Oryzias latipes: one gene and its partner. The protein of the gene in region 2 purifies or fractionates together with the protein of the main gene of each other region. This does not show direct contact. Links are inferred from orthologs where the notes say so. Each region holds a gene or a part of one and is shown on either strand. Other genes may lie near its edges.

Region 1 (7,290 bases), on a different chromosome or scaffold from region 2:
TTTGAGGCTAAGGAAGTTGATAACCTCAGCTTTTGGTTCCAGAAATGGAGGTATGTTTCAGGGTAGGTCAAGTTACCATGGCAACTCATGCTCTGAACATAACCTGGTCTGGAGCAGGTTTAGTTGAAGCTTAGTTTGTTTACAGAGAGGGGAAGCAGCATGGCGTGTCCATTTAAAGATGACTTAGTGGATGAAAAAGCTCAGATAATACTTTTTCCACCATGAGGGGGTGATAAGACCACATATGGATGTTGGAAAGATAAACTTTTTTACTTTGATCTAACTTAATTATTTGCTTCAGTTAAGATAAATCATTTTTTTTGTTAGGTCACCTTAAAAATAACACGTAGTTTTCAGACAATTATTTTCCTTTCGTTCAAATTAATTCAATTAAGTAGGTGTAACTTTGGTGCTGCCGTTAGATCGGCACCGCAAGGGATTCTGGGATATCATTCCCTTTGCCTGTCTGGACGGATTTGGGTTTAAGTGTGGGTTTTTTACAAAATGTGTTTAGTTGTATAGCTGTTTTACTGTGTTTCACCGTGTTTTGCCGAGCTATTTTGTCCTACTATGCTTACGTCTCTGCACCATGAGTGAGAGTGAAGGAAAGAATGATGAGTTTATATAGCACCCCTACCACAGGAACCTGCTATGACAGTGACAGAAAATTCTTTAATGAATTTTTGCACTCCGTGCATTTTTTTTCCGTTCTTTTTATTTTTATAAAAATGAGCATATCTGCCGGCTCAAACTTAGACATATGAAAGTTCAAGAAATATAAGTAATTAAGATGGAAAAAAGATTAATGGAGTAATGTGACATTTAGTTAGATAAATACGTACATTTGAGTTGTATAAACAATTATTGAGTTTGAATTAATTTAACTAAATTATTTAAATTATTTTTCAGCCATGTTACTTTTTTGATGGACTTATAATTTTTTTCCGCTCTCATTAAAATCTCAGACTCCGTCTCACTTAAGTACAGCGCTTTCTTTTTTTTTCACCATGCGTTTCCATGGTGACTCCAGAAATCGGCGATCTATTGAGAATGTCTTTATGTACCGTGCGTTAACCCAGGGTTACCAAGTCGAGCGTAATTACGCCAACTCATATCCGGTCTTTTGGACCCGACATACCCAGAGTAAGCAAGTTCAGGCGGATTTCAGCCAGAGTTCAGGCTTAAAGTCAGGGTAGTTTAAACATGCTTCCTGGAATACCCCCCAGGAGGCACGAGCAGGCTTGTCCCGCTTTGCGCAGCTGCCTGGTCTGAGTTTGTCGGTCTGCCAGCTCACCTCCTGCGAGCCGACATCAGGCATGATGTGAGCTTTGAGTGAATGGCGTAAGAATGAGGAGTGTTTCAACCGGGGACTTCGAGACGTGGACGACCGGAGCTCCTCTGTAGTTTGGTCCACACAAACCCTCAAACTAGAAAAACAGAGTCGTAGATGTTTGCTGCAGCAGACAGATTGTTTGTCTCTATTTGATCTCTAATGTCAGCAAAGCCGCGCGGATATCGCTGAAACATGAAATCTCTCTGACTGGCACACTGCTAAGCGGGTATCGAGGAATATGAGTCGATTTCCATGGATGAGCCAATGAACGTTTAGATCCCGCCCACTTTCACTGATTGACAGACAGACCCATTCTCCTGAAAAAGCTCTTCATGAAATAAATAAGCCATTGTGAAAAACAGCAACATGAAATAAAAACAAAGCTACTTTGGAAAATATTGATTTTGAAATACGAGCTTCTGAAAAAAGACAGAATTATAATAATATTCAACATGATAAAAAATGAATATTTTAAAATGCTTTTTTAAAATAATGAACAGGTTTTTAAAGCAAAATGAAATATATTGAATAATGACTAATTTAAAATCTGTGTGCAGGTTTTTCACAATTTCATTATCTTTTTGTATATTTATGAGATTTATGAGATTTATAGGTTTATTGTGTATTTGCATGAGGTCATATTTATTTATTTAATTAAATATTTATTTATTTAATTATGAACAGTATAGGACTCCATAGTCCCAAATAGGCTGCTCCATCGTAGAACTCAGTCTGGAATGTCACACTTTGCATTTCTGAGCTCCTCTACTATGTTCCAGACTGAGATCTACGATGGACCAGCCTATTTGGGCCACCATGTAAGAAAAATAAATGTCTGAGAATAAAGAAATAAAATTAAGAGAAACAATTAAGTTTCCTTTTCTTTTAAGAATAAAGTTGTAAAATTTTTAGAAAAAAAGTTGCACAGCGTTAAAAAAATCAATTTCCGGGAATGAAGTCACAAGTTTATTGCTTCAAAAAGTTGTAACTTTACAAGGAAATGGTCAGGTCTTTTTTTGAAAACAAAATTTTACTTATGTCTTTTAAAATGTTTTTAACAAAGACACACATTATCTATACCCGTACATTTAATTTATGTGATATCAAATGGATATCGATTGTTTTTGTTTTCGATTACTCTGGTCTGACATCCATCGCTGTGGGGGGTTATCGATTGCTTATGTCTGCCAGTTAGTCAGAGCAGGAAGCCTCGGTGGTGTGCACGGCTAAAGCTAACATTCATTGAATGAACGTGTTCAAAAATGAACGGAGCGGACTTCCGAGGAATTTCAGTTCATAATTTTTCTGAGAAAATCCTGGAGCAGGTCGTCCACTTCCATGTCATGAAGTTGGACGGCGGGTTCTTCCTCTGGGTCGGTTCGGCTCCGGTTCTGTCCAACTTAGCGGTCTCTCTGAACAGCAAATACGTGAGTACAGAACCCAGGTTTGTTTTGCTGACATTTAACTTTAAGCTAAAACCTGAACGTTAGCAATATAAACGTTATTAAAACCCTAAAATAACTCATGAAGTATTTCAATAAAGTCAGCTGAGTTTGGAACTTTAATATAACATAAAAACACATTTTAGTTAATTCCATTAAAAGAAAAAAATTCTTTGATATTTTCCAAAACTAGCTTAATTTTTGTTGTTTACATTTATTTTTAACTTTTAATAGTTTTTTCCCCCAAATTAAATGAGCAAGTCATAGTCACAGTCACAGATTTTTATTATTATTAATAATAACAGTAGTAGTAGTTGTAGTAGTAGTAATGTTGTTTTTTTATTTTTATTTTTACAATTACTTTATTTAAAAAAATTGCCTTTCCAAAAACATTGCCTGACTCCAAAATAACAGATTTAGTCTTCCTTCGTGAATATTAAAACAGGAAAATGCAATTCATAAAGACACCCCACATTTTTCACCCCAAATGATCTTGTTTATTTAAAACCAAAAAAAAATCATTGAAGATTTTAGGTCATATACAACTAAACAAATAAAATGTCTCATGTTGTTTTTTTCTTCATTAATGTTTGTCTTCTTTGAAAATTTTTACAAAAGATCCCTGCTTCTAAATACATTGAAGCTAAATGTGAAAATATTCTCATTTGAATTTTTAAATCTATAATTTCCCAATAATTCTAATCTCTTGTTTATCATAAGAGACCTTTCATTCTGTCTGTCATTGTATCCACTGACTTCAGTTCTGCAGTCTTGGATTGATTATTTACAACAGACATCGTTAAATATTTAGTTACTCCATCATGTAAAAAGTTTACTCTGGAAAATCTATTATTATTTCTTTCCAACTGTTTTATAATCCGGATTGGCTTTAAAAATGCGGAACGCAATTACAAAGAAATCAAACTTTCTTTTAGTAAGAATCTAGTAATTATTTCCTGGTTTTACATGCTGTTTGTTTTTGTTTGCAGGATTCAATGCCGTTATCTACGCTGGTGATGGGGGACCCGTCTGAGACCACTGCGAGTTCTTTAGCACAGAGATTAGGTAATCTCAACCCTTTCTATCATTTTTTTTCATAGCTTTATGAGTCCAAAGACAACAAAGTTAAAACTATTCCTTCTTTTCCTGTCAGGCAGTTTCAATTATCATCAGATCTTTCTTTGGAATCACTCCTCTTATAAACCTAATAATCCCTTCACTACACATATGCTTTACAAGACAAACTTCATAATCCATCTGTCACTCATTATTCCACCTAAACACAAGTACAGATTAAAGTTAAACAGAGATGCATATAACTGTGAGAATATTAACAGAAAGAAATTAACCAAAAATAATGGAAGTAAATTATTATTATTTTAAATTAATACATTTTTGGCCCTAAAAGGTCACTTTAAAGAGTTTCACTTCTCTTAACTAGGTTTGAAAGTAATTAATTATTTTCACATGTTATTATTTTTTCATTTACCGGTACATTTTAGATTTGGCTGCTCCATTAGCCAATATAGGTCAATGCGAATGCCCTTTCTGCCTGCAGGGGGCGCCACAAATCATAACGATTATTTTTTAATTATAATAAAGCTTGTTAATACCAATTCTTCTTTCAATGAAAAAAATGTATATTGAAAGATGCATAATTATCATAACTCAAAATGATGCTTCTCTCCTGAAAAAAAGCTTTCCAGGACACAGAAGAAAAGAATTTGGAAAAAGCAGGAAGAATAAGAGTTAAAGCACTAAGATTAAATGCATCTTCAGTTATTTAGCACAGTGAACTGTTCAGTTAAAAATGTCTTAACAAGCAGCTTCAACATGGTATGTTATTAATCTCTAATAAGTACAGTTTTTTAAAAATCTAAGATACAAACCAGTTAAAGTAATTTTTACATCAGACATCTTCATAGATTGTTACCTTTGTAGTTATTATAATTATTTCAGCGGCTGGGTAGCTCAGTTGGTAAGGTGAGAAGCCACCACCAGAAACCAGGGTTCGATTCCCGGAGGGGCCTGAACAATGGTAGTGGGGGCAATTAACATCACCTTGGGCAAGACCCTTAACGCTACTGCCTCCTGAGCGCGGTTCGGCTGCAGCTCACCGCTCCCCCAGGGGATGGGTCAAATGCGGACAACAAATTTCCCATTGTGGGATAAAAAAAACAACAAAAAAAACATTTCATTAATTAGCAGGTTTTTTATGTTATAGTTGGGTTTTCATGTTGGATTAAAACCTTTTTTTGTCATCTATTGACATGTCGGGTGACTTATAGGAAATATAGGCAGAAATAATGATATTCAGCTAAATTTAAGATGGAGGCGAGGAGGGCGGACGATGAGAGGGTCTGGCTTTGACTCTAACTTTTGGAGTTCAAAATCTCCTTTGAAACAAAATAACGCCACAAAAATCAATTATTGATGTACAGATACCTCAACGTATTCACTCATGTGTTAAATGATACTTTATTTACGGAGATGAAGAGGATTCAAATATGAATATTTGACATTTTGTTATCTTTTAGATTAAGAGCAAAGCTTCCCTCCAAAGCTTTTAGGAAAAACAAATGAGTGATTTCATAAATAAACCAACATATGTTTAGGTCAATACAAAATGCTCTTTTAAAGGGAGATGACATTCAGTTTATTGCATTAGTCACATCATGTACCTGTACGGGCGCCTCTGGTTTTTGGGATGTCTGTGGAGGGTTGTAAAGAGGAGCGGCAGGTGTGTTTTGCAGTTGCCTTAAGGAATGTACCATTGTCGTACGTGGGGTAGGCGTATCGTGAAGTATTTGTAAAGATGATGCAAGTTACCCTCACTTCTGATGCAGGGGGGGGGTGCTGTTGTGCGGCGCCCTCACACCACACTAGTCGTTGGTGAGGTGCGCATATCACAAATTCAAGCGCACTTATTTCCTGATCAGCTCTAATGGGCTCCCTGCACTGGGTGCAAGTTTGGGGGGGTGAAAAAAAATGTTATATTTGTAAGACGCGCCTGCGTCTGACCTACTTCGCTCTTACCTACCCTTTGTGGTCGCATAAGTGTTCGCGTTGACCCATCGCCTGGAGCATGCCCATAGAAAAGATGTGCGTGACCATCTTTGCTCTACGAGTTCAATAAGCGTTCTTTGATCTTAAAATTTTGTGCGGGCCACCTGCGTACATTTGTCCGCCGTAGTCCGGCCGTATCAACATATAAGGGCAGTTGTTGTGACTAAGGCATAAGCTAAGCAAGCTTGTATGTTTACTGTCAGGGTGGGCATCAAAGAGAAATTGCGTCTGTTTTGCAGCAAAGAGGACGGAGAAGCAGGTCTTTGTGAGCTACAGTCTTCCCATGAGCGACTCCAGCCTCAGTCTGTTGGTAGAAGGCCGAATCAAAAAGGAGCTGGAGCTTCACCCGGAGCACTTTTAAACAACATAACAACAGCACACAGAAAGGTGAAGACCCACCCAACCGCTCTCCCTCATCAAACAAGCATCAAGTTACCAGGACAACCAATCACAGCCAGTTTGTTTGCTTTTTTTATTAGCATAATAAATTAGGAGGTTTATCAAAACTGGTAGGCCTATGGCTTTTTGTACAAATGCATCTTATTAAAAAATAACACTTAAAAAACAGTATTAGTGGCTTTTTTATGTTGAAAACATACAAACTAGTAACCAGACATGTGAGCTATGTGCTAAATATGGAAACTATTTGTATTTCAAGAAAACAAACGAGTCACGATTTAGGCGTCTTTATGTTTTGGAAGAAAGAAAAATTGGCACAAGTCGGCAAACTATGAATATTGATGCAGTTCTGGTTGATGTTGGGTTTGGAAAGTGGTTAAACCTACACAAGTCACGAGGCCAGACCTACACTGCTCTACTCTAATCCTCACAAACACTTACTCCAGAAAATGGTTGAATATTGTGCTTTCTGTTCAGAGGAACTGAGGTTCACAACACGGTGCAAAGGAGGAAGAGGAGGAGGTGTGGAAGTATCTACAGAGTGTTTCTAGCTAACACCCCTCCCCTCGCTTCTGTGGAATTCAAAAATAAATCCAGAATTTCTTTGATTTCATTCGATCTGGTCTAAAAAAAAAAAAAAAGAAAATCACATTAAAGCCATCTGAGATGCGTCATCAGACACGGCGAAGGTCACTCCAAAATGCCCATTCAGCTCCCAAATGTGGTGGCGTCGATTCTCCGGCTGATGGACAGCCATCATGCGCCCACCACGGTGTTAGGTTAGAAGTCTACACCGGCCTCACCGTTACACATAAAGTGACTTCTATTCAAGACCACAACAGAGACTAAAATTAAAATCATGTTGTGCCTTTTCATGCATTAAAAAGAAATCGTCGTGGTTTTAGCCCAACCCTGGATTTCCACTATCTTGGCTGAAATTCACAAACACCTGATTGTGTCTTTAACATTTAGTGCAAAAAGAACCTGTGGAGAATGTGGGAAAGCAACAAAGAAAAGTCCCAGAGCAAAGCTCACGCTTCACCTGTCTGC
Region 2 (7,601 bases):
ACAGAAGAGCAGCAAGACGGCGAGCCGGAGATCCTCTGCACAACTACACACAGCATGAGATCAGAGACACAAACAAGAGCTGCAGTTGTTACGTTCTGAAGTTATTCTAAACTTTTTGTGACTAAACAAAAAGACTAAATGAATCAATAAGATTAAGCCATGTTTTCTTAAATTCAGGCTTTAAAAAACCATGCTGATATTATGATTTACTTTTAATAGCCATCTACTCAATATCCGGGTTTGTAGCGACCTTTTGGCTCTGAAGCTGCGTCTAAAACACGCTTGGCGGTGGACGAACTTCAAATGAAAAGATAAATGCACATTTAAGGTTTAACATTAAAAACCTGCGTTCACGCATGGCTACAGACATTTTTAAGACCATTTTTGGGATCTACAGTCAGGACCATAAATATTTGGACAGAGACACATTCTTTGTACTTTAGTTTCTGTACATTACCACAGTGAATTTTAAATAAAACAACTCAGATGCCATTGAGCGGGTCGTTCAACAACCGAAGGGTTGGTGGATCGATCCCTGCTCTCCCCAGCCAGCTTTCAAGGGGGGTGACAAGCAAAAAATTCTTATTTTCTGCTTTGCAATAAATTAATCTTATCAAGGAAACTTATCAATAGCAAAATAATGTTAGTTTAAGAAAACATGCCTAAGTGACTAGATTTTTCCCCACAATTCTTGTTGAGACCATTTTCTTACCTACTGGCAGATTTTTTTATTTTAAGAAACCATTTTGTTTTTCATATTTTAAGAATTTTTAACTTTCTCTCTGTGTTTACAGCCTGGATTTCAGGCAGGAGGTGTTTTCTGCAAAGAGCGCTAAACGCTAAACCCAAACTACCTTCTTCTTGAAGTCTTTAAAACAGAGAATCTCAATTTATATTTTTGTATTCCTTTGGTTTCAATTCCCAAATTACAATAAATTGTAATTTAACAATGAAAGTTCAACAACAGTTAATGGCCAATTACCAGGACAGCAAAGAGGGCTTTTTTTACGTTATGGGTACAGGTGTCATGTCGGAGTCCCAGTACCTGTCAGAGTAAAGTCCTTTTGTGATGCCTCCTCCTGGGATGCAGAGTCGAGGCTCGGCCTCAGCATCCGTTAGTCCGGGAAAGGCCGGCGTTCGCTCCATCTCCCTCCAGCCCAGCTCCTTCAGAGCATCAGCACTCACTCCCAGCAGAGACGGTGTGACCAGGAACCGAAGAGGAGAACTGATGAAAACGCAGATTCATCAGAACAGAAATGTCTGGAAATGGTTACAAAAATATACAAGGATGCTGTCAGACTGCAGGATTACCCCTGAAGCTGCAGGTCGTCTCTCTGGTAGGCATGGCTGCTGGACAGAACCATTGTTCTGGAGAAACCGCTCGCTTTGATCCAAGATACCAGCTGCTGGCGAAACCGCTTGGTCCTCGTCTGCAGTAAACAAACAAGTCAGAAATCTGACTAATTCCACGTAAATGTTGACGGGAATCAAACGGCTTTACCTGAATAATTGGGGCTCTGATCTGGAGAACTGCCAGCTTCATTTCTGCTGCTGTGTAAACTGCAAATGATTTATTTTACAGATTCCGTTACATTTTAATGAAATACGTTTTGTCTGCACCAGTGGTCCCCAACCCCCGGGCCGCAGACGGTCATTTGGTACCGGGCCACACAGAAAAAATAAAATAACTGACATGACTTCCGTTTTATTTATTTCAGAATCTGAAAGATGTTTTATTTTGAAAAACTGCAGATTCTTTGTTCCATTCGTCTATGTCACTCTTGACGCAGGCCAATTCGCTGATCTCGGTCACGTGATGGGTTACCGCTAAAATAAAACCCAGGAGCTAGTAAAATGAATAAAAAACAAACGTCTTTGGAAAGTTTCTTTGCCATGGGGAAAAGGCTCAGCCAGGAGACCAAAGAGGAGCCTTCCACTCCCCCCCCAAAAAAGAAAGCTACATTTAAAAAGACAGTATCAGGAGTCCTACTAAAAATACGGATTTATCTCAACGGGAGATTCCCTCGAACCATTCAGCACTGTGGTGAGTTGGATTTTCCATGCACTTATTTTGAAGGCATGTTTAAATGTTATAATAATAGCGACCAGAGAGTGTTGCCGGCAGAGAGGACGTTGCTCATGTCCTAATTCTTGTTAATTGTAATGTTTAGAAAATACCACCGTTTTCATGCAAGTCTCATCACTTTGTTGTATTGTAGTGTCTGTCACGTGCACGTTTGGTCTGCTGTCGGAGTTCCGCAGGCTGCAGGGGTTACTGTCGGAGCTGGTATCACAGGGAATTTTAGCACCATGAGTGTGGGAAGGGGAGAGGATGATGACACAAGTGCGATGAACAATGTTTAGCGTGTCAAAATAAAGGTGCAGAGCGCGTCTTATCACGCGTCTCTGCCTCTGTAGTAGCGTTGCTGCAGCGTGTGTCCGCCACATATAACATACCGGACCGTGAGAATTTTGCCAGACATCAAACCGGTCCGTGGTGCAATAAAGGTTGGGGACCGCTGCTCTACACAATACAGTGAAATATTAAAATCTGTCAGTCTGTCACATAAAAGGGTGATTGTACACGAAATACAAAACTATCACATAAACCCTTAAACCAAGTCACCCAAAAAACTGTCAACACAAATCAATGCAACAACATTTGCAGCATAGAAAACGTATCAATCAGACAGACTTTGCTGAACCCATGTTACCTTCTGCAGGAGTGTGCAGCTCCTCCGCATCCTCTTTGCAGGAGCTGTAGGGGTTGTTTCCAGCCATGGGGATGAGACAGTCTGTGTGCATGTAGCCCACTCTCCTCATGTTAAGAGTAGATACGATGAGGTCGACCGCCAGCTGACCCACGTTACCAACAGAAACAGCCGGCTAAGGGGACACCCAAAGAAACAGGACAAATATGGAAGACGGCTACTACTGTGAGGTGAAAGGCTTTCAGAAGGCCTGAAAACTCTTTTACATCACAATCGAATAAAACAGCACATTTCTAATGCCTTTTTCAAATCAAAACAACTTAGCTAGAACTTTAAAATGCAGTATTTCACCCTAGTTTATGAAACATTATGGCAAAAACTTGAAAAACAATATTATGTCCATGCATTTATCATTCTGGAGGTGTTAGGAACCAAATTATTAATACAAATAAATGTCAGAAAATAGCAATCGTCAATTAAACCTAACAATCTTTAGTTTTGGTAGAGAAAATTATCTTAAGTGATGGAATTTGTTAATACATACGTGACTTGGTTTAACCAATTAAATGTCATAATAATGGCCAAGGCCATTTATCACAACAGACCTGACCCCGGTGTTTTCTGCATGAACATCAAATCGCAGAGGAGCTACATTCTCCCTCTGACATCCTTTTACTCGAATGTGTTACAGTTTTACTGCTGTTATTTGTTAGAGTTCAATAACAACCACAATTATAATAAAGAATCAATCTACAAACTAACTGACTGGAACCAATTACAGCTATGAATAAAGTAAAAAAAAAAGAAGTAAGTAACACAGACTTGTTGATAGTAATATACAAAGTAAAACTGCTTGCAGTTGCAACAGAGAAACGTTTGCAAGAAGTGAAACAAAAACTCACCATGACGAGGGTAAAATCTTTGAAAACAGGAGGCGAGTCTTGCGAGGAAACAAACATGATGCTGAACAGGGAGCTGACACAAAACCAGAGAGTTACGGTTAAAAAAAGTATGTAGGAGTACGCTAATCACAACTGAAAATTTGTAATATCTAAGCACACGCTTCCTCAAGTTTCCATGCCTGATTCTGTTGTATACGTTCGTGGAGATTTTGAGGACTGAAACTAGTTTAGGCATACTTCAGGAATGCCTGACTATAATTCATCAAAAAAGCAAACTTAAGAAAATCTAAAATCATTATAACCTATTTTAACCTTTAAATGTATTGGTTTTGTAGTAGCGTGTGTAGATTATTATTAGTTTACCCCCACCTAGGAACAAAAACATTATTTTTTAGATTTCTTTAGTCAGGCTAGTAGCCAAAACACCCTCTAGAAATAAAATGGTCAATTTGTCCGCGTTTTTTTTATTTTTTTTATATAACTTTATTTAACAAATGCAAGTAAATTTGTCCGCGTTGAAGCTTTATTTATTTATTTATTTATTTATTTATTTATTTATTTATTTACCAATGTATAATAGTGTAGCGATCTGGGGGTTAGCCCCGCCTATTATTATTAATTTTATTATTATTATTATTATTATTATTATTATTATTATTAACAATAAGAATATTATTATTATTATTATTGTTGTTGTTGTTAGTAGTAGTAGTAATAGTAGATGTAGCTTGCCGTAGCTTGCAGCAGCAAAATGTGTCAAATTAACTTTAAAGCCCAAATTTTCTCCAGGGTTCATTTAATGTTTTTAATACACTATGATTTTTACTGTTGTGTGATCTTTTTTTTCGTTTGTTTCTTTTCATGATAGAAACTGTTGTCCCCACACGCATTTTAAAACTCGAGTGGATATGACATTCCAAGCAATGGCAGCCAAACTCTGGAACACCCTGACTCTGCTTCTACCATTGACTGTATACGAGACATTCAAGGGTTGTACAGTCATTGACAAGACTGAGGCATTCAATCATAAGACTTTTTTTATTTCAGCAGGCTTTTAGTTAGATTTGGGTTCTTTGTTGGATATTCTGCTTCTATCTTTAATATTTGTTACTTGTTTTATCTTCTTTTTGATGTGGTTGTAAACATTCTTTCTGGAAAATTACTGCATACACTACTTACTTTATAAAAAAGAAATAACCCACTTTCACAGGAATTTTTAAAATGTAAACTGTTTATTTTACTAAATAAAAAAAGAACATTTTCAAAGTCTTTCTACCTTTCTTTTATTGTTCTCTGCCCTTTGGTTCCTTTTTTACTGCTTACATTATTTTTTATTGTTTCTAATATTTTCCCCTCCAGGGGGGTATTCCAATAAGCAGGTTATTCTAGTTACCACGGTAACTTTGAGGCTAAGGAAGTTGATAACCTCAGCTTTTGGTTCCAAAAATGGAGGTATGTTTCAGGGTAGGTCAAGTTGCCATGGCAACTCATGCTCTGAACATAACCTGGTCTGGAGCAGGTTTAGTTGAAGCTTAGTTTGTTTTCAGAGAGGTGAAGCAGCATGGTGTGTCCATTTGAAGATGATTTAGTGGATGAAGAAGCTCAGATAATACTTTTTCCACCATGAGAGGGTGATAAGACCACATATAGATGTTGGAAAGATAAACTTTTTTACATTGCTCTAACTTAATTATTTGCTTCAGTTAAGATAAATCAATTATTTTGTTAAGTCATCTTAAAAATAACATCTAGTTATCAGACAGTTATTTTACCTTAATTCAAATTAATTTTATTAAGTAGGTGTAACTTTGATGCTGCTGTTAGATCTGCACCGCAAGCAATTGTGGGATACCATTCCATTTGCATGTCTGGACGGATTTGGGTTTAAGTGTGGGTTTTTGACCAACTGTGTTTAGTTGTTTAGCTGTTTTACTGTGTTTTGCTGAGTTATTTGTCCTTTTATGTTATATTTTTTCTGCACCATGAGTGAGGGAGGGAGAGGATGATGAGGTTTTATTTAGAAGCCGCTTATTCTTGGTGATGTATTGTCCAAGTAAGAGAAATTGTAAACTACATCTTGAGTCATGATACAATTCCATTTTGTTTCAATCATTTTATTGTTATAAAATGAGTATATCTGCCGGCTCAAACTTAGACATAGGAGAGTTCAAGAAGTACAATAAATTAAGATGGAAAAACATTTGAGTAAAATCACATTTAGTTATATAAATATGTAAATTTGAGTTGTAAAACAATATTGAGTTGGGTAGACGTAAGAAATTAGGTTGAATAAATTTAACTCAATTACTTGATACCAATAGAAGCAATTCATTTAAGTTGGATAAGTTATATGCGTCACAATGAAAATAGAAATGAGATTGAAACTCGTGCGTTTACTTTTTCCTTCTTTTTCTCCAAGCAGAAACTCTTTCTTTTGCTGATGATGCAGCCGTATTACTTTTTTGATGGACGTATAATCCTCACACACTGTCATTTAAATCTCAGACTCTGTCACAAAAGTATAGCGCTCTCTTTTGTTCTCGTCACGTTTCTATGGTGACTCTGGATATCGACGATCCATTGAGAATGTCTTTATGTACTTGCTGTGCACGTGCATTAACCCAGGGTTACCAAGTCCAGCGTAATTACGCCAACTCATATCCGGTCTTTTGGAACCGACATACCCAGAGTAAGCAAGTTCAGGCGGACTTCAGCCAGAGTTCAGGGTTAAAGTCAGGCTAGTTTAAACCTGCTTCCTGGAATACCCCCCAGTATTCTTCCATATTTTTTAGTGCGTTATTTATTCATTTAAAAAATGTTAATGTTAGTTCATTGTACATAGTATTGTGCGGTAAATTGCATAATATAATAGTTTGTATGGTAAAACCCATTTGTCACATTAAAAAGGAGGTCTTGGACTCACATTTTTGTCTTTTTGTTTATTTATTCAAGTACAAAGAAAACCTGTGATTCTACAGATTACGATTGAATATGTCGACAGATGCGCAACTGAGTAATTTACAACAATATCATACAAGAAAAAAAACATAAATGAGATAGAATGTATAAAGCCACTCTTTACCAACACCTAGATTTCCTGCTTCTCAGTCCTACTGTTTACAGTGGCTTAGTAATTTGAAAACATCTATTGATACAGCTCTTGGCCACGTTTGTTTTATATAAGAACTCTATGACAGCTGTAAATTTAAAGACATAACGTAATATAACCAGCGACAGACTGGCGGCCTGTCCAGGGTGCCCCCTATCTTCACCCACAAGTGGCTGGGATAGGCTCCGGCAGCCCCGTTTCCAGCCATGGGGCAGCCTCAAATAATCAGTCTTAAAAACCCCATAATGCTAAACTAATTTTTTGCTCTATAATTTCCATGTATTATCATGATAGCATTTTTAAAGCTTGACTTCATTGGGAACCTGACTACCTTTTACAACAGCGACAGCGTTCTCCACCATCAGCTGCACCATCTTTCTCACTGTGGTGTTAGTGTTGGTCCCTGCATGGGGAGTGAGGAGCACATTGGGAAGGCTGAGGAGAGGATGATCTCTGCACAAAGCAAGCAGCAAAGCCCAGTCACATGACACTTTTATTCCATCATTGCTTTTGTCTTTTTAATCCGTTTAAATAAACCTCAAGATGTCAAATGCGTTGTTACCTTGGTAACGGTTCAGGATAAGTCACATCCAAAGCTGCTGCTTGAATAACTCCAGATTGTAGAGCCTTGAGCAAGGCCTCCTGGTCCACAACCAAACCTGTTGAGTCCCATATTAAAGTAAATATGGTTGCATAAAAATGAAATCAGATCTAATCCCCACCTCTGCTGATGTTGACTAGTGTAGCCGTGTCTTTCATGAGGGCCAGCTCTCTATGACCAATCAGGTGTTTGGTTTCAGGGCTCAGATTGACCGCCAGCACAACAAAGTCAGACTCTTTCAGTAGGTCGTCCATGTTCCTGCAGTAAATCGCCCCCAC

Evidence for each region. Proteins that work in one complex are often made in the same cells at the same time.
Region 1: the proteins of psmg2 (region 2) and psmg4 purify together in Homo sapiens (affinity purification with mass spectrometry; 3 studies listed by BioGRID and IntAct, counting the BioPlex papers as one, with this or other methods). This does not show direct contact. The link is inferred for Oryzias latipes from reciprocal best matches to the Homo sapiens genes PSMG2 and PSMG4.

Annotation. Positions count from the first base shown.
Region 1 is NC_019862.2:21,271,352-21,278,641, forward strand, and holds psmg4 (proteasome assembly chaperone 4), read left to right. Parts: upstream 1-2,497; 5' UTR 2,498-2,595; coding exon 2,596-2,760; intron 2,761-3,764; coding exon 3,765-3,840; intron 3,841-6,080; coding exon 6,081-6,202; 3' UTR 6,203-6,406; downstream 6,407-7,290. UniProt on the Homo sapiens protein: Chaperone protein which promotes assembly of the 20S proteasome.
Region 2 is NC_019869.2:7,090,436-7,098,036, forward strand, and holds the start of psmg2 (proteasome assembly chaperone 2), read right to left. Parts: upstream 3,823-7,601; 5' UTR 3,671-3,822; coding exon 3,614-3,670; intron 2,887-3,613; coding exon 2,715-2,886; intron 1,561-2,714; coding exon 1,502-1,560; intron 1,431-1,501; coding exon 1,312-1,430; intron 1,226-1,311; coding exon 1,046-1,225; intron 44-1,045; coding exon 1-43. Other genes in the region: uncharacterized protein LOC101168130, read right to left, coding at 7,022-7,175, 7,285-7,381, 7,445-7,601. UniProt on the Homo sapiens protein: Chaperone protein which promotes assembly of the 20S proteasome as part of a heterodimer with PSMG1.